3 linked regions of the Arabidopsis thaliana genome follow. The protein of the gene in region 3 interacts with the protein of the main gene of each other region in a pairwise test. Each region holds a gene or a part of one and is shown on either strand. Other genes may lie near its edges.

The links.
Region 1: the proteins of AT1G50740 (region 3) and UCC2 interact in a protein complementation assay, tested with the Arabidopsis thaliana proteins (one large-scale study listed by BioGRID).
Region 2: the proteins of AT1G50740 (region 3) and AT5G37610 interact in a protein complementation assay, tested with the Arabidopsis thaliana proteins (one large-scale study listed by BioGRID).

What each region holds. Positions count from the first base shown.
Region 1 is NC_003071.7:18,457,237-18,465,487, forward strand, and holds UCC2 (uclacyanin 2), read right to left. Parts: upstream 6,298-8,251; 5' UTR 5,997-6,297; coding exon 5,825-5,996; intron 5,383-5,824; coding exon 4,946-5,382; 3' UTR 4,627-4,945; downstream 1-4,626. Other genes in the region: AT2G44770 (ELMO/CED-12 family protein), read left to right, coding at 581-665, 932-1,041, 1,191-1,259, 1,448-1,563, 1,646-1,700, 1,885-2,005, 2,189-2,236, 2,355-2,449 and 1 more. UniProt on the Arabidopsis thaliana protein: Probably acts as an electron carrier involved in oxygen activation and/or lignin formation.
Region 2 is NC_003076.8:14,934,656-14,942,051, reverse strand, and holds AT5G37610 (Eukaryotic porin family protein), read right to left. Parts: upstream 4,021-7,396; 5' UTR 3,932-4,020; coding exon 3,440-3,931; downstream 1-3,439. Other genes in the region: GSR 1 (uncharacterized protein), read left to right, coding at 6,396-6,469, 6,878-6,917, 7,006-7,109, 7,212-7,260, 7,340-7,396.
Region 3 is NC_003070.9:18,803,669-18,811,732, reverse strand, and holds AT1G50740 (Transmembrane proteins 14C), read right to left. Parts: upstream 4,062-8,064; 5' UTR 3,873-4,061; coding exon 3,674-3,872; intron 3,207-3,673; coding exon 3,119-3,206; intron 3,041-3,118; coding exon 2,968-3,040; 3' UTR 2,698-2,967; downstream 1-2,697. Other genes in the region: AT1G50750 (aminotransferase-like, mobile domain protein), read left to right, coding at 1-452, 650-1,130; AT1G50745 (plant mobile domain protein), read left to right, coding at 1,246-1,396, 1,468-2,549. UniProt on the Arabidopsis thaliana protein: May be involved in free fatty acids export.

The sequences.
Region 1 (8,251 bases), on a different chromosome or scaffold from region 3:
GCGCGGGGTCCTCCAGCCTAATTGCCACCTGTACACCAGCCCTGTCCGTCGTAACTATAAAAATCTCATTTTCCTTTTTTATTTTATTTCCAAACCTCCAAACAATTAAAGAAACGGCAAAAATTTATGCTGAAATCTTTTTTTCTTCCTTATTCTCCTCTTTCGCTTGATTTCGCCGTCCGATTATCTCTATCGCCGATAAATATCCGGCGTCACTCAGTAGATCTTGAAGCTGTTGCTTTCTTGCTTTGCTCTTCGCGCAAGATTCTCTTTCTCTGTTTTCATTGAGGATTCGAAGTTGATCGCTATTTGATTCGATTGGTTTTGAGTTTTCGATCCTCGACGGTGATTGAATTCTCCTCTTTACTTTATTTTTGGTTTTTGAAGCTCGCTGTATCAATCGTGACGTTTTTTGTGATTCGCATTGTGTCTGTAGTAGTTGATCAGGTTTCCGATTGGTTTCTTATTGATTTGATTTTAAAAATTCGATTGCTGATGAAATTATCTGGTTCTGCATTTGATTGTTCGCAGGATGGAGATTTTGAAGTGAATCGGAGGAGCGAATAAGAGAAAGTGAGAGATGGATGATAGAGAAGGCTCGTTCGTAGCTGTTAGGCGGATTTCTCAGGGTCTCGAACGAGGAAGCGTTTACAATTCATCATCTGGTATTTTCATCATCTCTTAGCGTTTCATTGAGAAAAGCGTTTCTGCTTCTCTTAGTATCTAAGCTTATCTCTCTACAATTGTGGTTGATGTTAAACCTTAGTATATGGCAGATTTCGTAGTATAGAGTTGTCTATAAGCTTTGTTTCTGTGTGGTTTTATAGAGTTTTATGGATTAGAGATTTAGACTAGTGTGCCTATGCGTACTATTCCTCTGTTGAAACCACTGTAGCTCCAATAACACTGGAGTTTATTTGTTTTGTTATAGCTGAGGCTGTGCCTGGATCAGCAGCTTGGTTAGGCCGAGGTCTTTCTTGTGTTTGTGCTCAGAGAAGAGATAGTGACGCAAATTCTACGTTTGATCTAACACCTGCTCAGGTACTTGACTTTCCACTGTTCGAGTTGGAAGTTTACATTTATTGTTCCCTACATTATAAATAACGTGTTTGTCCTCTTTAGATTAGCTGCCTTACTTCTAAGTGTATCCAGGTACCTAATTACTAATACCCTATTGTTGGAATTTGCAGGAGGAATGCTTGCAGAGTTTGCAGAACCGCATTGACGTAGCTTATGATAGCACAATACCCTTGCATCAGGTACACTTTTCTTGAGGGGTTTTAAGCTTTCAGAATTTCTCATAAACAAAATTGGACTTGAACCATCATTTGAAGATGGTAGAATATTGTATCTTTTCGTCCCGTGGCCTTTTTACTGTAAGCTAGCATCATAAATTCAAATGTACCAGCTTTGATGATTACTTTGTTACTTCGTCATATGCTCTTAGGAAGCTCTAAGGGAGCTGTGGAAACTTTCCTTTCCTGAAGAAGAGCTTCATGGATTAATATCTGAGCAGTGGAAAGAGATGGGTTGGCAGGGCAAAGATCCGTCAACAGATTTTAGGTATAACACGGACTTTCCTTATCATTTATGTTACAGGTATTTCTTGCATATGTTCTCTGACTTACAGTGCATCATCTGGCAGGGGTGGTGGTTTCATATCTCTTGAAAACTTGCTGTACTTTGCCAGGAACTTTCAGGTATACCTATACACTACATATACAAACATTTCATGAAAAGAATGAGCTGATTTTCCTTTATAAATTTCACTTTCCATGCATCATAAATTATCGATCAATCAGTTATTCATGAATTCACCTCTTATAGATCTTGCTGATCCACTTATGTCACTTAGTTTAAACGGCACATGTCTATATGCTGCAGAAATCCTTCCAGGACCTTCTGAGGAAACAGGTTGGGGATCGGTCTGTGTGGGAATACCCCTTTGCTGTCGCTGGTATCAACTTAACATTCATGCTCATCCAAATGCTTGACCTTGAAGCAGGTATACAGCCACATGAATTTACTTACCTACCATGATTCATGATTGTGATAGTTGCTATTGACATCTGGAGTCATAGGATTGGGAAGCACATAACTACTATAGAATCTTCTTGCATGCATTAGGCAGATGTCTCATATTGTTCATAGTCTGTCATTCTGATGTATATACTTTTAAAATGTACAGTGAAACCGCGAACAATTGTTGGGGCAACTTTTCTGAAATTTCTTTCTGGTAATCTCTCACACAATGCTGTGGTCTTATCATAATGAAAAGCCTTTTTCCACACATGGTGCTTCAATTAGATGTGGACACTGATTTAGATAAATGTATTGGGTATTTGTGTAAGCAGAGAACGAATCTGCATTTGACCTTCTTTATTGCATTGCATTCAAGCTAATGGATCAGCAATGGCTTTCAATGCGTGCCTCATACATGGAGTTTAACGTAAGTAATAGTCGTTACAAAGCATTGACATTAGTTTGGTCATTTACATACATACATGCGATGCTGATGCTTTGTCTTGGAATATATTGGATGACATAGACGGTGATGAAATCAACAAGGAGACAGCTGGAGAGAGAGCTGATGCTGGAAGACATAATGCATCTTGAGGACTTACCCTCCTACGCTCTTCTCAATCAATAGCCCTTATGATGATATTAAATAGTAAGAAGAGTTTCTAACCTCAGGATAACACAAGGTTGCTCTACTCTCTCTCTCTCTTCACTTTTCATCTTCAACGCTTTCGGTTCTACCTCTTCGTTGACCTTTTCTTGTGTTTGGTGGTTCTAAGAAACAACTTCAACACCGAGTTGTTACTTGTTATATTAAAACAAGAAAAAGAGTGTGAGAGAGACGGGGAGAGGTTGGGATAAATCTCAATTTGGTTGCAAGGAGTGTGTAGCTAAAATGGAATTGTTTTCTAACAACGTTCAGGTTTTTTAGTTACTGTGTGGGTGATTGATCTTATTGTGTGGGGATAATAATCATTTGGTGATGTCCACAAGTTCAAAAGCAGTCTCTGTTAAAGACTCTACACGAGGTTAAAACTTCATTTGTTTGTGTATTAAAAAAAAGAAGTTACTTTGATTGTTTATAGCTGTGAAAATTCTGCGTGAATAATAGAGACGGCCTTCACAAGCAGTCACGAGTTATTCTACAGCAACAAAATAATTATTAGATCTACAAAGCCCTACTACAATCAACACGCTTATACTATAGTCTAGATTCTTACACTCTGGCTAATTGTTAATTTGATGTATCAGAAAACTGATTAGCGCTCTCACTAATCTGTTATTAAATTCAGTTAAGCACAATAATCATGTCGAATACGAAGGGCTGATCAGTGGCTCACACATCAATTCACACACACCTTGATAATCCATACATTGCAAGCCAACACCAACGACATCCCGACCACCAGTCCACCACGTAGCTTATTACTATTAGTCCGCTTGATGCATCATTTGATGGCGTAGTTGACCCTGAATCAGCTTCGTGTGTTCCATCAGACGGCTGCGAGTCTGGGGTGGAGGAGAGAAAGGAGAGGCTACGACCGTAATGTCACCAAGACAGTGACCGGGTGTAGGACAGATGAAATAGTTTGGTCCTACTGTCGTCAGATCAACTTTGGTGTCTCCATCGGAATGGTTCTCTGTCGCGGATGAGCCGTCTCCATTCATATGTGGCTTTGTCAACCACATTCACATCCACCGTACTTGAACTCTGTTTCAAAGATTAACATTAGCCACTTACCTAAAACGAAACAGAGTTTTCTTGTACGATAAGTTATAATACCAACCCTGAAAGTCTTTCCCGCAACCCAATCTGTGTAGTCCACGCAATTGGCCCATTGATTAGCCTCTAATTAAGTCATAGAGACTGCAGGCCTGCAGATGGGCCTGGGTCGATAGCAATGAAGCCCATAACAAGGAAAAGACCATTCGTTGCCATCTTGAGGTTTAAACGTGGAGAGCTATTTTAAATTAAAGATGTGAAGAGGAGGAAATAATGGTAACGGTGATGGTTTATATAACAAAGAGGCATGAGAACGACTAATGAGAAATTAAGCTTAATTAAGGGAATGTCTGAAAAGTCCCCTCTTCTTAATTATTTTTGAGTTATGTCCGTAAAGGACACTCCTGATTAGGGTCAAATTCCATTGGCATTGCTCATGTGTTATTGACAAGGTACTCATGGTCATGGGTCAAATAAAAAGTCTTTGACAATACTATTTATAAGAAAATTAGAGAAACTTATCTTCATATTATCATATATAACTTAAGTTCTATCATATCTAAAGGGTAGTTAAGTTTGCGTCAATATAAGGTTTTGACTCTTATGGAGAGATGAGTTCGGTCCAGAATTCTTCAAATATATAACCAATCTAAATAAAAAATATAAGATAAGAGTTTTTAATTTAAAAGCTAGGTACAGCTAATCGAATACTACCTATCCCAAGTTGCATTTGTTTATGTGATCGTTTAAACCATAGCAACAACTAGAGTTTGAACACATTGCTAGAAATCATTTCTTTCAGGAATTGATCATATCTCTTAGTTGTTGTTGTACGTGATTCATTCTTGATAACATACTATATATGTAAAATACGAAGGGATGGTGTGGAAAACAACTGTACATGTGATTCCAAAACCGATAAATTAAAAACGAATATGAAGAAGAGAACAGATGATAATTACGAACGATGGAGTGGTTCCACATGAACGAAAATGAAAATTAATAGTATAATTTATTACAACAAGAGAATAAGTGAATGTGATGATGATGATGATAACGATAATCAAATGCCGAGATAATAAAAATCCTACGAATAATGAAGAGCTTCTGACGTGGCACACAAACCCAAATTCTCTTACAACCAAAAACCAAAATAATTTAAAAAGGCAAAAGCACTGACTCCACCCTGGCTCTCTAAACCAATTACATCCACAAACCATAACCCAAAACCATCGAGACTCCCACCAAAACGTAACTCATCACTCCCTTAGACGCACCACTTGCCTTTGGTGGAGGAGGAGGAGAAGTTGAACCTGCACCAGGTGTGGGTGTGGTGGGTGTGGGTGATCCGCCAGACGGAGGTGATTCCGGTGTGGTAGGAGTTCCCGGAGTTGAAGAAGGTGGCGTGGGAGTGGCCGGAGGTCCGGCAGAACCGGCTACGACATTAACGGCTAGCTTCATGCCGCCATTGGTTCTGCAGTGACCAGGTGTAGAACAGATGAAATAGTTTATTCCTACAGTCTTAAGATCGATTTTGGTGTCTCCATCGGAATGGTTCTCAGTCGAGGAGGAGGCGTCGCAGCCATCATATCCGGCTTTGTCAACCACATCCACCGTGTGGGAAGAACCATACTTGAACTCTGTTTCATATCCCCATAAATAAATAAATTAAAACCTAAGTAAAGAGTTCTCCATACCTAGGAAGATTATAAGACAAGAGTCCCAAATTATCTGGTTACCAAATCTGAGATTTCTTGTAGAATAAGTTATCTCAATTTCAACATGGTAGAAATTTATAAAGAAGTAAAACAAGCAAATCAAAAAATTGTTTCTTCTTCTTTCTTTTTACTGTTTCTAACTTTCTATATTTAAGAACCTGAGACCAAATAAACAAAAAAAAAATCACACATTTTTTTTTTTTTGGTATTACGTACTAAAGCAAACTTAATTTAATTTGAACCACCGAAACCAATATTAAACTACACTTGGGTTAGATTAGGTTACTACACTTTTTGATGTATAGCTTGAATCTATCTGAAAATTATAAAAGTTATAAGTAATGTGGTTCGGATGATGATTTACCTAGAATGTCACCAACCCTGAAAGTCTTTCCGGTAGCCCAACCTGAGTAGTCCACACCAGTGGTCCATTCAATAGTGTAAGTCACAGCTACTGCGCCCGGGACAATGGTCAGAACTAGGAGAAGAGCAGTTGCGGCGGCTACAGCCATCTTGGACAAACCATTCATTGCCATTTTTTGTTTACTGTAGAAGAGAGATATTCTTGTAAAGATTGTGAAGAGAAGAAATGGTTATGGTGTCATTATATAACAAAGAGATGTGAGAAGGACTTTAGGAATTAAGTAAATGGAATGTATGAAAAAGTCGCCGCCTCGCCAACTCATTCAACAACTTCATCCTCACTTTTTATTTTTCGTTTTACTTTTTTATTCATTTCTTTTGTTTTCTAAGACATTGTCATGATGCGTAACAACTCTTTGTTCTTATACATTCAAACTAAAAAAAAAAAGAATGGATAATTAATCGAATAGTTCGATGGCTTTCTTTGCTGTGAATTATATAAACCCATTATCCTTATGAGTGGCTTCTTCCTATTTGGGTTTTTATGTTTTTCTACGTAAAAGTGTGCTGAGAACATGGGTTTGTTAATATCACTATAATATAAGTATGATGCAAATAATGTATAATTGTATAACTATTGCATTACTTAATGAACATGTTATAGATTCTGCAGGTGCCAAGATTCCTTAAATTTGTAGCAAAAGATCAGCTAAAATTTCAATATTTTTCTGAAACGCAGTTATTTTTAATGCCTTTAAAACAGAGTATTTGAAGTGTAGATTTTAAGCTATAAGTTTCCTTGAAGAATTTCAGAAAAAAACAATCTTAAAATTTTACACGGGTGTATCACAACAATTGTTTATGTATTAATACAAATTGTTTTAAAATCTTTTGAGTTCATATAGTATTTTCTCACGCAAAAACAATCTTTATTTCCTATATCGTATTTTATGAAGGTTTTGTGTGGATTGAGTTTGTACGTTTGAACAAGACTTTATCAATAGGACTCCTTAATTTTAAGATTATCTGTTGAATCGCAAAAACTATATGAAAGCGTTAATGTACAAAAATCTCATTATTGTATCAATGGAACTTTGTTTAATTAGCAAGGTGTTGACCATTGACTAAGTTCCTTATTCAAAAGTTTTCAGATTGGAAAAAATCGTCGAAGGCTTTGGGTCAGAAGTCGCACAGAAAAAAAAAAAGATGAACAGAGATATTCGAAATGACATTATATTCAAGCTCTTTTAGAAATTAAAAAATGTAATAAAATTGGGGATTAGGTAATATGATAATAGTAGGAAGATGCCTAACACGTTCTAAGGCCATTCTAATATATATTTTGTCAATGATCAAAGATGGGTACAGATGTTAGGTGAAACAAATCTTTACAATATTAGAAAATATGAATACATACGGAAAGAACAATTTTGATAAGTATTTGATTTATAAAAGTGAAATAGTCAATGATAAAACAAAAACCAAATAGTATAATCACTAAGTATTACCTATCAATTTATTTGACCAAAACAAAACATATTTAGGAGATCGGAAGAAAGAATTTAGAGAGGACTTCTAAAGGCGGTCTTGAGCGTGCCATGTTGATCTTTGATTATCATTATCGTGTCATCCTCATCCATTGGCTAAGAAAGGAAAAAAAAACTAAGAGATTAGGTATTTTTATAAAAATAAAAGCTTATTTTCACTGTCATGATCAAATTTGTTATTGTAATTACAACTACATATAAATTGAACATATTGTTCTGTTTAACCACGTTTGCAAATAATTACTTTTCTAAAGTAATTATTTTGTCCAGATCCATGACATTAGTGTTATTGTTAAGCTATGCACGTCAAATGACAAAATATTCAAATTGACCCTTAAACGGCTTCCTAGTACTGTTCACTACTGTACATGAAATGAAATGATACTTTGGAAAAGAGAAGTAAATAAATATTAACATAGGAAGGAAGGAGCTACATCTCTACTATTTTTATTTTATAAGCTAATCAGAGCATTCCATGTCATACCCCACTCTCACCTCTCGGGCGATTTCACAACCACTCTCACCAAACGCGTGTTGAGCGCGTGTATACGTTTTCTGTGGGTTCTAACCCACCAAATGGCTTGTTTTGAAACACACTCGCCTCTTTCAAAAAAAGCCTCGAGTGTGTGATTTCAGTGTTTTTCTCCTTTAATTCCAATTCAAACCCAACCGAAATCAATTGAATTTTTCAAAACCATGTAAACCGAACCGAAATAAAAACACAAACGACAAACTATTAATTGTCACTTCCACTATTGATCCAACTCCGACGAACCAGATTGATAATTTTGATTCGATTCCACACAGATAACATATAGTCCAAACCAAATGCAATTCACAAGAGAGCCAAATTATTACTCTATGTTCGAAGCTTTTTTAAC
Region 2 (7,396 bases), on a different chromosome or scaffold from region 3:
TTCAAATTTATATCTATCATCTTATTCTAATATAATATGAAAATAACTACCTGCTTAATTGTTATTTTCTTCTGATAATTACTTCGTGATCAACATATCTATGGTACATACGAAATTGCTTAATGTTGTACATATGTTATTTTCATTTTCCCTCCTTGTTTTGTCTCTCTTTTGCTAAGTTTGCAATGTCAGAAAACGTACAACATTAAGCAATTTCGTAGAGCAAAAACTCCAATGCTTTATCAGTCGTCTCAACAACAAGATGGCTCCATCCAGAGAATTCATTGTGCTGTTTGAAAATGCACAACTCTTTGGTGGGAAAGTCGGTCATTTTATACCCGATCTAATTTTAAGTGTTCAATTCATACCTAACAGTTTCTTATGTGCTAAAATATACTTAATCGTTTTTTAAAATTCAAATTTCATACCTAAATTTACTAAATCATGCGAAATTTTATATGATATGACACGTAAAATATATATTATTTATCATATTTTTCACTATGGTTATTGTTGATAGTAGCCATGACCATATCAATAATTGGTAAGAGTCAAATTTGGTTTATGTTATGACGTTTGTGAACAGTTTAGAGTTTAGAATTGATTTATGTTTGAATATTTATGAACCGTTTGATGTTTGGATATTTATGAACAATTTTTCTTACAAAAAAAAGTGTGTAATTTATACATAGAACTAGAAAAGAAAAAAAAGGAGACTATAAGTGACTTCACTATGATCAAATTACCATATTCCAGCTTCCAGTTTTATTGCAAACCACTATGCCATTTAATTCAATTCTAGGTAAGGATCCACACTGTATAGCACAAAGAAATATATGCTTAATATGTTAGCGTAATTTATAATATGTTTAAGTGAAGGCCAATTATATGTGGACTATATAATATGTTTTGTCTCTGCAATAAACCACGTCGTTTTGTTCTTACAGAGCAAATAAAACAAGACATTAACGCTGTAAAAAAGTTTTTGTTAACCTATTTAACGATATGACTCAAATGACAAGTCAACACAAACTTTGTCATTTATTTCGAAAGTAAAAAAAAAACTTTACGATTTATTTGTCTTCCGTGAAGTTCAAGATTAAATCATCCCAAATTTAAAATTTCATGATTTTTTTGATATTTTTGCCATTAAAATTCTTTATGGTTTAGGTATAAATACATTTATTTTGATGTCAAAAACAAAAAATACATTTTAAAAAAAAAAAGTATTAGGTTTTATAACTATAAATTGGTTAATTGGGTGGCCAGGACCAATCTTACAACAAATGAAAGTATATGAAAATAGGTAGGTTTGAAAGAAGCAGCAAGTACACATACATAGTTGTTTGTGTATAATCATTGGGATGTATAAATTTTGTTGTAGATAATTTGATTATAAAGCAAAAATAACACTCTACCCATCGTCAAAATAAGACATGTTCGAGATCCATTTCAAGCAACATATTTGTGTGTTCGTTTAATCAAAGTGATGCAGAAAGCATTTGGGAGTTTCATCTATAAGATGTTAGCCTTTTACGAGTATATGACGAGGGGACTTAACAGATTTCATCTGTTGCTTGTAAGGCTTCCGTTTGGAAAGCAGTGTCACTTCCACCTTTTCATCGAAATTGTGTACAATTTCCTTTATTTTATTCAATGGTTGTATTTGAATGGTCTCATGTATTATATATCATGTAACACTCTTATAATCTAATATATTTGATTTGGTGTTAAAGAAAAAAAAAAGCAAAAATAAGAATATAATTGAAATAGACAAACACATTCTAGCCCAGCCCAGTCTCAGACCCAACAAGAAACGGGTAACTGATATTATTTAATTTAGGAAATTTTGTTAACAAACTACAAAGCATCCGGGCCAAACCTATCACATAGTTAACCAGATCATCAACACATAATGTTCTCTAATACTTCATCATCAACCTTTTATTTTTTCTTGTGATAAAAGTTTTTCAAAATAATACAAAGATTAAATATTTCTAGTAATAATGTAATAAGACGACAAAAATGTAAATAATACATTAAAAAAAAAAAACTTACAAGCCCATTAATGATCCATATGGGCTACATTATTTAGTTACTGATGCCCATTTAGTCTAACCAAATAATCTGCTCAAGAAACTTGGTATGAGTCAATTAGTGGCAATACTTCCAAATTGGTTAAACAACCAAGTAAACAACTAGTATGTTGATGAACCTTTCTGTTTTTTCATCTTCTTTTTCCTTTTTTGCGTCTGATTATCACAACTTATTAATTTAGTATGCGTGCAGGCATAAATGGCGCTGCTTGATTTGCAAGAGTGGACCTATGATCTCACATCAGAAACTGAACAACAATTATTTGACTTTTATTGTGAGATTTTCACATATCTGTTTTCAAGATTTTGTTTTAATGATTGAAATTCTGTTAATCTAATAGTATAAAGATTGGTATAGTAAGCTTAAGCACATGATACAATAATATACATCATCATTACATTATCACCAACATTTAATTAAAATGTGTAACAATCAGTTGGCCCACCTTAGGAATATTTTTAGAGACACTCCGTACTATTATTATTTGATAGTTTTCTTGCACGTCGTTGATCTGCTCACCAATTAATTAATTTGTTTTTGATCTTAGCTGATTAATAAAATTATACGATATTTCTTTGATTTAAGAATATATATTTGTTTCAAGAAATATAATTTTGTCTAATAATATACATTATGTGGATATCGAATATTAGTGAGAAATAAATCAAATCATTAGCCTACATATATCATTAGTTAACTACCGCAAAACGTTTATCTAAAGCAACTTAAGTCAAATATTTCGGAAAAGTCTACTAGTTTGAATCTATAAAATTTGGTCTAGTGGGCGAAAATTCAATATAGCTTTGGTAGATTATGCTGTAGAATAATGAAAAAATACATTTCAATAAGAATTTCAAAATAATGAAATATATATGTCATTATAATGATCAAAAACATGTTATTTTGTCATAAACTTAATTTGAAACACACATGGCATATGATCTTAAATCACCCTAGCTACTGTAATCTTTCTATGCAATAATTATTATTTATTTACAAAATGATTGAATCGATCGTCTAAGAAACATGACATATGCAATGCAGAGAGTTGAAAATGAATGTACTTTTTTGTCGATATGTCACCTTATGCAAGTTGTGAATGCAATAATTGTTATCGGACAATTCTGAAGGTACAAGTATTAACACTGTCATTATTCATAGGTCCCGTGTACGTATCCAATTTAGTTTCGTCGATTCCATTTCATATTTTTTTTTAATAAAAAAATCTTAAATAAAACAGAAATAGATTATTCACCTAATCTTAAACAAAAACTTAAAACATATTTCATCATAAATTTGTAACCAGAATTACACAAAAAAAGGGTTTAAAAGTGATCACTATTCATAGTTCAACTGCTAAACCAAATCGTTGACTTGAATGGTTCAACAATCTTTCTCCAGCTATGGTGAAAAATGATTTCAAAGTCCAATGATGTTGAAAAAGAACTCTCATAGAACCACCATTGCTCACACTCAATAAAGCTTGGATCAAATCGTCATCACCAAATAAATGTCTCTTCCCAATGGAGAAAGAGTTGCTCTTGTCAGATAATATGTACTTCGCCTCAGCACCACACACTGTTTTAGAGTGCAAGCGCTGGTAGTAAGAAGCAGTGAATAAGCTTGCTTTCTTATCAATGGAAAAGGTGGTTGTTGTGTCCTCGGTGATCAAACTAAGAACTGTGTTTGCCTTAGTGATTATCCGGTTCACAAGATCCAAAGTTAACTCAAATCCAAATCGCCAAAAGTCATTTCCGAATACAGCAGAAAAACTGAGAATTGGATTTGCAAACAACCCCACAATTGTACTGATTCTGGCCCGTTCGGATAACATGTTCAACTGAGCATGGTTGTAGTCATTTCGATTGGACAGGGACACATTGCAAAGAATCAAGGAGGTAAGCAAACTCTAGATGTCATTAGAACCCAACATCAATATAAATATAATATTGCTTACTCTCTAAAGATGTCCAACTTGTGCTTACTCTCTAGGGATGTCTACTACAAAAATATAATATAAATATAAATAAAATTGGGTGCACAAAAAAATAATATAAATAAATATATAATACCACAAATATTTAGAATATATATTAATCCAATATAAATTAAAAATTAAAAATTAAATTATGTTATTACTTTGGGTTCTCTATTTTTAATTTCTGATTTATATATCCATCGTTTAAAAAGTAGTTAATTGTTTTCTGGTTTATTCTCTTAAATATTTAATAAATTACATCTTTCCCAAAGCATAGTTAACTAAAATCAAACGATTTTATTATATTTTCTAAATTAGTGAGACATAGAGAAGATATAAAAAAAAAATTATATAGAAGTTCTAAAATTTTCGTATCATTTCCGTTTTGGAGATCCTATTTACAATTTAGAAGAAAATATATTCAATTAAACTCTTAATCCACGCTACATTTTTTTTCTTTTGGTTCCTCTCTCCTTTTAGAAAGAAAATATCTGAATCATCTTAATTCTCTCTCAATCTCCGAACCCTAATTCTCTCATCTTAATCCCCTTTCAGTCTCCCTCAAAATTTAGAATGGAGACTGAGATGAGAGAATTATATCTGACTCTTAGGAACTTCGGTTTCAAAGAAAAATTCGTATCAATAATGACTTCCTGGAGAAGATAAAATTCTTGGTCACTCTCCTCTGAGCCGAAGAGTTTTTTGAATTTCTTGTTTATGATTAGAACTCTTTTGAGACGTTTAACCGGAATCTTGAATTTATATAAGAAGATAGATATATCTTGATAATTTTGTCGAATCAATCGATGTCTTTGGCTTGAACCTTCTATCGAAAGACATTATCGAAAGACATTATGACTTCTCTAAAACTATAAGCTTACAAATCCCACATGTCAGACTTTGTAGTCATCTAATTGGAGCTACGTTGAATTGATACTACAAATTTTGTTCAAATGAAAAGTTATCATATAATTGCAAAGAATATATTAGATGTGTGTTCAATAAATAATTAAATATGATTTGAAATTAACTTTTAACTGTCAAAAATAATTATATTTTTAGAAAATTAAAAAAAAAGTCAACAATTTTAGACTTCAACTCTTACGGTTGTGGGCCGAGTCAACCGATGCCCGTCATAAACGTCCTCTTACATGCTCCCAAAACAAAGTCAACTCAACTATCTAATCGGAATATATATTTGAGTTTCATTATCTTTAATAAAGTTGAATATAAACCAAAAAAACAAAAACAAAAATCTTTGGTTTTAGATAGTTTACTTGGGTTTGTATGGCTAAGAATTTAGAGTATCTCCGGTTTCTTTGGTACTCGTTTTCTTGTCAAGTAAGAACAATATTTTGTGTTGAAAAGTCATTGTGGAAAAAAACCAGAATAGATTCAAGATGATCGAAGATTCGATAGACAAAACAATGACCTTGTGATATTGATATGACACCGTGATATTTTCACAAAATTCCTCAAGGAAAGATTTATTTTGATTCTTGTTTATGATTAATGACCTTAAACCCCATAAAATGATTGGAGAGAAACCGGAGATGTGAGACAAATGGTTTCGATCTAATACTAAATTTAAGTAAGCGAATTTCGTTTAAAAATAATAATCTAAGTAAGTTGCATTAGAAAACAAATACTAATTTCAAGATGATTAGAGTGTTTAATTATGGTTCCACCTAATCACCGTTTAAAACATTATTATACTAAATCTATTGATATATTTTGCACAAATAAAATAATATATCAATTATACTTGTCCGTTTTGTTTTATATATCATTTAAGATTTTTTTTACACATATTAAAAAAAAATATATTGTTATATCATATTATGTTTGTATCAATTAAAATTAATAATTTAAAAATCAATAACACAGAAAATGTAGTATTAAGAATATTAATATTTTTCCCAAATTTTATTTTAGCATTTACAGAAAGAGATTTTTACCTTAAATAATTACATTTCTTTCTCTTTTTATTCCAATGACCTCATACAAAATTGTAACCTGGTGTGTCTATATATGTAAACTTTAATATTCCTGAAAAATATGAGATTCCATTGGGCCGCGAAAGAATCTTTATAATTTTATTCCTGATATTTAGTTGTATTTTTTGTTTCTTTCCTTGTGGAGAGCCAAAAAGTCTCCAAAGTCTTCACGTCACCCTCTTCCTCAATCTCTGCACCCACCCCTCCTCCTTCTATAAGTACTACTCTTCATATCTCTCTCTACCAAAATATCAAAACACGAGACAGATTTGATTCCATTTTTATTACTGTTACTATCATCCAAACCCTTGGTATTTGTAGCCATGAGTCTTGTTTCAGATCTCATCAACCTTAACCTCTCAGACTCCACTGACAAAATCATTGCTGAATACATATGGTTCGTCTTCTTCTTTTGTTTCTTTCATAAAAATCGTTTTTTGTTTGTGTATATGTTCTCGTATCAAACCTAAATCTAATGGGTTCGTGTTGTTTTTTCAACTTTTGACTCTGTTTTACTTTTTGGGATTGTATGGATTATAGTTTTGGTTTTGTGTCTGCCTTTGGTTGTTCTTAGTCCTCTAGAGCCAATTTGGTTTTGTTTATTCTTCAGATCTATGTTTAATTTGCTGATAAATCTATTAGGCTCCTGAATCTGCCAATACTGCAAAACTTTTTATCCCCTGATGATGTTTGCTCTGTTTTTTGGCTCTGTTCTGGCTCTGTTTTTGGCTCTGTTTTTAAACATAACGATTGAATTTTCTGAAATATTTTGTCTCTTGTTGGTGTTCTTTTAATACCAAATCAGGGTTGGTGGTTCTGGAATGGACATGAGAAGCAAAGCCAGGGTAATTTTTCATTCTCTAGATAATCTTGTGAAAAGGTCAACTTTTGTCTATCTCTATTTTTGGTAGTAATTCTGGTTTATATATGTAGACTCTACCTGGACCAGTGACTGACCCTTCGCAGCTACCAAAGTGGAACTATGATGGTTCAAGCACAGGCCAAGCTCCTGGTGAAGACAGTGAAGTCATCTTATAGTTAATAATCTTTCTTTCTTGATCTTAAATCAGATTCTTCTCATTGGTTTTTTTTTCGATTCTTGTTTACTAATCTTTTGTGTTTTGTACATCTTTGTTTAGCCCTCAAGCCATATTCAAGGATCCTTTCCGTAGAGGAAACAACATTCTTGTGAGTTTCTTTTAGTTTTGACCTTTTTTGTTGCAGCCATGCTTTATTACATCCATCTTAACTTAATGGTTTTGATCAGGTCATGTGCGATGCGTACACTCCCGCGGGTGAACCAATCCCGACTAACAAAAGACAC
Region 3 (8,064 bases):
GTGCTTTCAGGTTTCTCTGTTTTGGGTTCACCTGTTTTTGCCACTCTGGATAGCTCAGGAAAGGAGGTTAAGGCGAAACTGGATAAAGAGTGGAAGAAGATTAAGAAAGCTAAAGTCAATTTCGTAACACAAGTAGCATGGATGGAGAGATTCATGGACAGTGGTGATGAGCTTGAGCATGTGGCTTTCCTCGTCTTGTGGCTTAACTATTTTGTGTTTCCATCACGCTTGTATCATCTCTATAAAGCTGTTTTCCCAATTGTTGTTCATCTTTCAACTGGTACTAGGATTGCTCTTGCCCTTGCTGTTCTTGCACACTTATATGCTGAGCTAAGTCTCTTAAAAAAACACATCACAGCTTTCAGTGAATCGACGAGTACGGCTAGAATTGATCTCACTGCCCTGTTTAAGTTGCTTCAAGTTTGGACATGGGAGAGGTTCAAGGAACTACAGTAAAACCCAATCCATTGCTGAAAGGTGAGCCAAGATTGGCTCTTTGGCATGGCCTCTTACAGAGAACCAGCGATGCGAGACAGATTCTGGATAGCTTGAAAATCGACAGTTTTGAGTGGCGTCCCTACACAAAAACTGAGAAAGAGTGAGAGTTTCCTAAGTTTTACCCCGAGAAAGCGGTGTGGATTCCTGCTAGTCCCAATCTTGATGTTGAATTTGTCTCCTTTGCTCGATGCATTAAGGTGTCTCAGCTTGTTGGAATTGACAATGTGGAGCATTACTTTCCCAATCGAGTGGCTTCACAGTTTGGGATGCTTCAAGATGTTCCTTGTGCTGTTAACCAGAACAACCTCTCACAGGAGGCAGCTTGGAATGATTACAATAAGCCTATTAACGATTTAGCATTATTCATTCCTTCACGTTCTGCAATACCTCGTGTTACTCCAACGTTCTGCGAATGGTGGAGGAGGTCGTTTCCAGAATTCCAGACTTCTTCTAAGGATAAGGATGCTAATGAATCAGCTGAAACATTGAAAGCTAGAGACAGAAAAAGCCTAGGGGCTGATACTAGTTTTGTTCCTTCTGGCTCCAAGATGAACAAGAAAGGCAAGGATAATATGAAAATTCATGCTCAGGATTCGACAAACACAAGACGCAAGAACATAAAGCAAGAATAAGAGACGCAAGTACATGAAGAAAGCTAGTGAAAACTGTAACAATGAATCAACTGAAATATTGAAATAAGGAAACATCATAGGTGATGATACTAATTTTGTTGCTGCAGGCTCTAAGATGAACAGAACAAGAAAGGATGAAATGAATATAACTGACGATTCAAACAAGAGACGCAATTACAATAAGCAAGCTCGTGACAAAAGACTCAAATACATGAAGCAAGCTCGTGAAAAAAGACTCCAGTACATAAAGCAAGCTCGAAAAAACGGTAACAATGAGTCAGGTGAAACATTGAAATCAAGAAACATCATAGGTGTGATACTAGTTTTGTTCTTTCAGGCTCTAAGGTGAACAGAACAAGCAAAGATGGAATGAAGATAGCTGAGGATTTCGACAAGAGACGCAAGTACATGAAACGAGTTCGTGAGAACAATGAGAGTCATATGGGTCAATGTCATACACATGTTCATTCAGACAATAATGATGAAGATGATAACCTCTCCATTGCTCAATTTCTGAGACTTAATAAGAAGAAGTATAGTGATGTACGGAATAGTGGAAGAGATGCTTCTGAACCGCTTGGTAAGATAAGTAGAGTTGAGGCAGATAACAATGATTTGGGGACTTTTCAAAAGCTTGCTTCAATAAGAGATGAAATTGTACCACCATCAGAAATTGCGCATAGGAATGGAGAGACCGATGAAGCTGGAAGCAGAGCAGGGACGAATATGGATGAGAGCCCATTTGATGAAAACAACTCTTCAGAACCTCCTTTTTGTGCTGACAGAGGAGTAGTTGACATTGTTGTGTCACCACCAGAGACAAGGCAAGCCTGTGATGATGAGCTTGATGTAAATGAAAGTAATGCAGATATGTTTGATGATGGCAGCAAGCAACCAAAGTGTTTGCTCCACGAAGATGGTATCATTGCAGTAGAGGAGCCGAGCTCAGATGAGAAGTTGTGCAGTAGTGAAGCTGAGAAGGAAGATGTTGTTGCTGATGATGACACAATGAACAACATTGAACCAGTCCCTCATCAACAGCATGCTACCAGAGGAACTAATAGAGATGAAACAAGCAGAGCATGCAAGAGTGTGGTTCTGAGCCCAACTGATGAGTCAAACATTCAAATCGCTGTAGGGGAAGGAAGCCAAGGACAGGATTGTGGGCTTCAAGATAATGGCCTCGGAAGTGATGAAACTTCGAAATCCAATGAGCAGTTAGAGGATTTAGAAAAGAGAAAGAATGATTTTGGTGAGGGTGATGCTGCTAATGACTCATACGAAAAGAGATTGGAAGAGCTGAAGGTGCTGGCATTGTCGTTAAAAGAGCATATTACTATGGCACAGAGAAATCTGGCATCTTTGAAAGAAAGGAGTGCCATGAGACAGAGAAAAATTGAAGCAGCTCGTTGGATCTAGGTATTGTTTTGAGCAGATAAAAGAAGGGAGCAGTCAAATGCAAGTAGAATATCAAAGATCAATCTCACCTTTGTGATCTCTAGGTTAAGTATCTTTTTATATTGCTGCTTAGTATCTTTTGAGAACTGGTTTGCTTTTAAGTGTTTTATATTTTAATTGTTATCTTTTGAACACAGTTATGAGCTAATAGCTTCTTAGTAAATGGAACAGCCTGATTCGATCATAAGAAAATACAAATTAGATTTATGAAAGAGATTCTTACAGGAAAACCATGTTCACCTAGGGACCAAGATAACTAAACTCCCTTATAGAGCGTAATCAGTATTATCTACACTATCCTGATTTGTAAATCTAAAATCCATATACCTTATTTCAACAGTGGAGGAGCTTCATCGACAACCGGAGTGTATAACACTAATCATTCAGCTTTCGGTGGTATGTGGTTGCCGCCAGTTGCGATCTTGTATACGTAGAAACAAGTCATGAGAGCACTGCAATACAGACAAAATGTTCATGAGAGCCCTTGAAAGTCTAAATCTTTAGATACAAAAAAAAAAAAAGATAAATACCTGATTCCAGCTACCAAAGCAGCTGGCATAATCTTCTGAGTCTGCAAGAACCGTTGTCCCATGACAAATGTGAGAGCAGCTGCAATGACTGTATAACAAGACATTTTCAAATGAGTATTCAGTCACTAATAATCACTTAAACAGAAGATAAACTGTGAGGCCTTGTAAGTGTTTTGTTTTTGGGTTTGGTTCTGTTTTCAGTGAATGGTAACAATAACCACAATCCACATTTAAAATGTGAATCAGTTTTCATTTATGAGATCACAATACATCAATTAAGCATAGCTTATCTAACTCTTACGCTAGAGCCTACCATGTAAAAACAAATTCTTGATTCCAACAAAGAAGCCAATCAATTTGTTCTGAATTCACCTAACTTGGGTCTAAATTTGGTAATTTTTCTATATTGAAGCTTGAAAGTCATCCCTTTTCGGAATAAAATGCAAATAAGAACTCGAATTCCAGTGGCACCTATCACCAAAATCTAATCCCAGACCAATGAATCCAAACAAAAATTCGATCTAAGCCAATCACGAGAGATAAAAAAAAAAAAACCTGTTTCGAGAAGAGTAGCGAGTAACGATGTCTTCTTCTTCTCGAAAGCTTTAAGGCTGATGAAACCAGCGAGAACGACAAGCAATCCAGTGCCTGCTCCTCCGGCGAGAGATGCAATACTTCCTTTCTTCAGATACCCGATAAATCCTCCGACGATCAGAAGGATCCCGTACGGGATAGTGAAGCAGAAATCGTGCATTATATTCTCGAGCTGGGTTAATGGAATCTGGGTTTTTTTTTTGTTATCTCAGATTGATTTGATAGAGATCGTCTCCGATCAATTTATACGAGTGTGCATTTGGATTTGGAGAACGCGTGGAAGAAGAAGTCAGCTTCGGCGTTTCTTCGTCAACGGTCTCTAGAACGTCAATCAACTGCTCCCACTTTTAGATCTCATGATTTCGTCAAAATTACTAATATACCCCGAATAATTGATTAATGTAATGGCCTTATTAACACTTTAAATTTAATAACACATTACATATTTATCATTACATATTACATAGTAATTTTTTCGTCAAAAAAATCATCACTACTAACTTCCATACTAACATCATGCAACAAGCGATAACGTTAAGCCAAAATTTTATCAACTTACTTATCAGAGACGAAATCAATCACAACTTCATATAATTAATTACCTAGCAAACTGAGAAAATCGGGCCCAATTGTTGCCTCGTAAACCGTGTATTTCTCTCTCGCTTGTAGGCGATTTCTGGTTTTTAGATCTAGAATTTTCTGTTCCGTTCTGCTCTTAACGTCGACAAAGTCTTCTCGCAAGTGATCCAGGAGTGAGTCGTCGTGCCTCTCCGTCAACAAGGGTGTGGTGTTTCCCCGCTAATGTGGTTGTGGCCCTAGATTGGCGGAGGAGGAGCATTGAAGCGGTGGTCTCCCGGTTGTGGACGTTGGGAGTTGCTTTGATTCTCCTTAGGCTCAGTCGTCGACCTGGTAGCTGCATCTACGGCGGAAGTTGAAGGGGATAAGGTGGGTTTGGTGTTGATTTGACAGGTGGGTAGCGGAAGATCTAGGTCTTCAATGGCTGAGACGGGGGTCGGATTTAGTAGTTATGAGTGAGCCACCAGCTTCTAGATTTGCCGTCTCGAGTGAGCCGACTGTCCGGATCGAGTCACGGCGGTTCTGGAATTTCAGGGGTTTCCGGTAAAGGAGAGCGAGGATATCTATAAGTGTGAGGGGTTGCTAGGTCGGGATTTCTCACCGTCGAACCGCTTCGTCGGGGTGACTAATTTTCTGGGAGACTTGTGGCGGGTTGGTGCATCGGGAGAAAGAGATGGTTGGTCGGAAACTGAAATCTTTCACCGGTTGTTTCAATCTTCTGATGGGGTCGCAAAGTTGTGAGTCTTGATTTTGCCAGATCTAAGATTTGGTCACTCTGCGAACGGTGATCAACAAGAGTCGAGCCGCTTTTCTTTTCCGGTGAACTTTTTTCCGATTTCCCTTTTTGTAACTGGGTCACTTGCGTTGTAGACTTTAAGCCCAAGCCCATTTGGATCGAATTTTATTAAAATTATTATTTAAAAAAAAATAAAAATAAATAATTACCTAGCACGAAATCTATCCAATTCCCAGATTACTCTAATTTCTTAATTTTTTAATTAATTACCCTACAACTCTCTTTTTTTTAATGTAATTATACGCGTTAAGATAACCATTAGAAGTCGGTAGAATCGTCTATGTAAAAATGTAATAATTCTCATAATTTATAATCAATAATTTTCTTATTTTAAAATTTTAGATATTGCAAAACATGTTGAAAATATTAGGCATAGGGATCTGATTGGTTTTCTAGAGATTTTTAGAGAAAATAAGGATTTGCATACAAATGATATTAATGGGGTTGCATTTGTTTTGATAAGTTTCTAATTTGACGACATGTTTTGCAAAACTTGGATGTGATACCATCAAAATATTGAGCAAAATGTAGTACATGTAATATATAAGAAACAAAACGGTGAGATGGAATATTGAACTCGAAGAAAAAGTAAAACAAAGCCAAAGAAAATGACAGCTTCAATAAACAAACTATTTGAAAAGAAAATTGTATTATCGTATAAATATCAATGCAATACGTAGAAATAGAATAGAGTTACAATATTTTGAAGCAAAAAATATTGTTCTGCTATTTTATAGGTAATTAAAAAAAAAGTAACAGAAACATAGTTAAAACTTGAAAGTAGCAAAATAATATTCTCTCTGTTTTATATTAGTTGTAGTTTAAGGTTTTTACACACATATTAAGAAATTATAAAAATTTCAATTTAATCTACTTCTTTTATATAAAAATATTATTTATTATAACTAATTTAACCAATAAAAAAATATGATTAAGTATAATTGATTAAAAAGTATTAAATATATTTATTAATTGTATAAAAAATTGAAAACAACACTTATTTTGAAAAAAAGTAAAAATCTTTAAACTACAACTAATATAAAACGGAAGAAATAATAGTTATGCATTAGTGTCATCACTAGGTTCACAACATGGGCATAACTTGCGACGTAGATAAGGACCATACAAGCACGACGCAAGAGTGAAGATGAGGACGCCCAACACCAAGCAGATGTATCCTGTCAAATGATACGTGTCCATCTTCATGTTCACCACACCACCAATCTCTAATCTTTCTTCTTAAGTTTTTTTTTTCTTCTTCTTCTTCTTTTTTTCTCGTGTACTGATTATATTTATATACATGTATTGTCAACACTAACTTTACATTTTTGTAAATACATCAGCAACATTTGGTAAGTTTACATTTTTCATTAAAAATATACTAGAGAATTTTTTATTTGTAAATACTTCAGCAACATTTGGTAAGTTTACATTTTTCATTAAAATATACTAGAGAAAATTCGAAAGTTTACATTTAGGAAAAATTCAAAAATTTTACATCGTATGATTCTTTCTAAAATATTCCACAAACTGATATTTATATATACATTTTTGCAGCCATTTTATGAAATAAATTTTGGAGTTCGAACTTATTTACAATGCCTGCCATTGGCTTTTAATTATTGGTTTTCTTTTGGCAATAAATTGATTAACAAACAAAAAATATTCCAAATATATTCTAATCTCATATATCACGCAAATTTCTCCAAAATTTAAACTAGATTTTGGAAACTATTTAAAACAAAAAATATTTGACAAGCCAAAATACAATTGCAATCCCTTAAAATGACCAAAACGCACCTAAATACATTTACTATCAGTTCACTAAATCTTATTTCTCCAATATTTGAATTAGATTTCGACAACTATTTAAAACAAAAATTTGTTTGATAAACTAAAATATAATTACAATCCTATAAAATATTTATTTAAATTAGCGGTATACCGCGGAGTTTTTTAACGGGACGGGTTTGGCGGAACGGGTTTGGAAGAATGTTACTTAATAACAATTGTAAACTAGAAAATGTAAATATTTTATAGATAAATATAATTTGCAGACTTTTATATATACTAATTTTAAAAAAAAATTGTTTCTGCGGCGAATTATAATCTAGTTATGATATATACTACTAGTAAAAATATCTTCTATAGATATGCGTATTTCATTATTCAGCAGATATTGATGGTTTACATAAAAAGAAGAGATCATTGGTATCTAAAAGGAATAAATCTACAGAGTAATCTATTACTAACCAAATATGTGGATGTGATATATTCTTTTTCTTCAAAGGATATATGATATTACAAGATTTAATCATGGACTCAATTTTCAACATCTAGAACTTCAATCAACTGCTCCCACTTTTAGATCCCATGATTTCGTGAAAACTATATTATACACCCTCACCCGAATATTAACTATTCTATCCCAAAAAAAAAGTAGTTATCTCTTATACTTTAATGTCATTATGTGAATGTTAACACTTTATATAACACTTTAAATTGAATAACATGCATTCTCATCACCATCACATGTTACAAGAATATATATCTTGTAACTAAGAAATGACTCATAAGAAACTCCTTTTGATTTCTAGGAAAGTTACATATTTCTAAGTCGTCTATTTAGTACATATTTTTAGTTGTTATTAGGAAAGTAATTAATATTTGTGTACATTTTCTTGTTACTAAATAGTTAAATTTCTTATTTAGTAACAATGAAAATATATACAATAACCACATCTCAAGACTTAAGTAAATTATACATTTTGAAATAATGGTAAACTTCCTAAGTTAATATATTAACATTCTTCCGGATCCTTTTATAACCATATCTTCATGATTTCATAATCTTGAAACTTTATTAGCAAGTAATTAATGATTATATATATGTGGGTATAGGATCTAGTCAAATAGAGGTGCATGTAACGCAAAGATCCTTAGAAAGTCCATTAGCCTTAATATTGTCTTCAAATTTCAA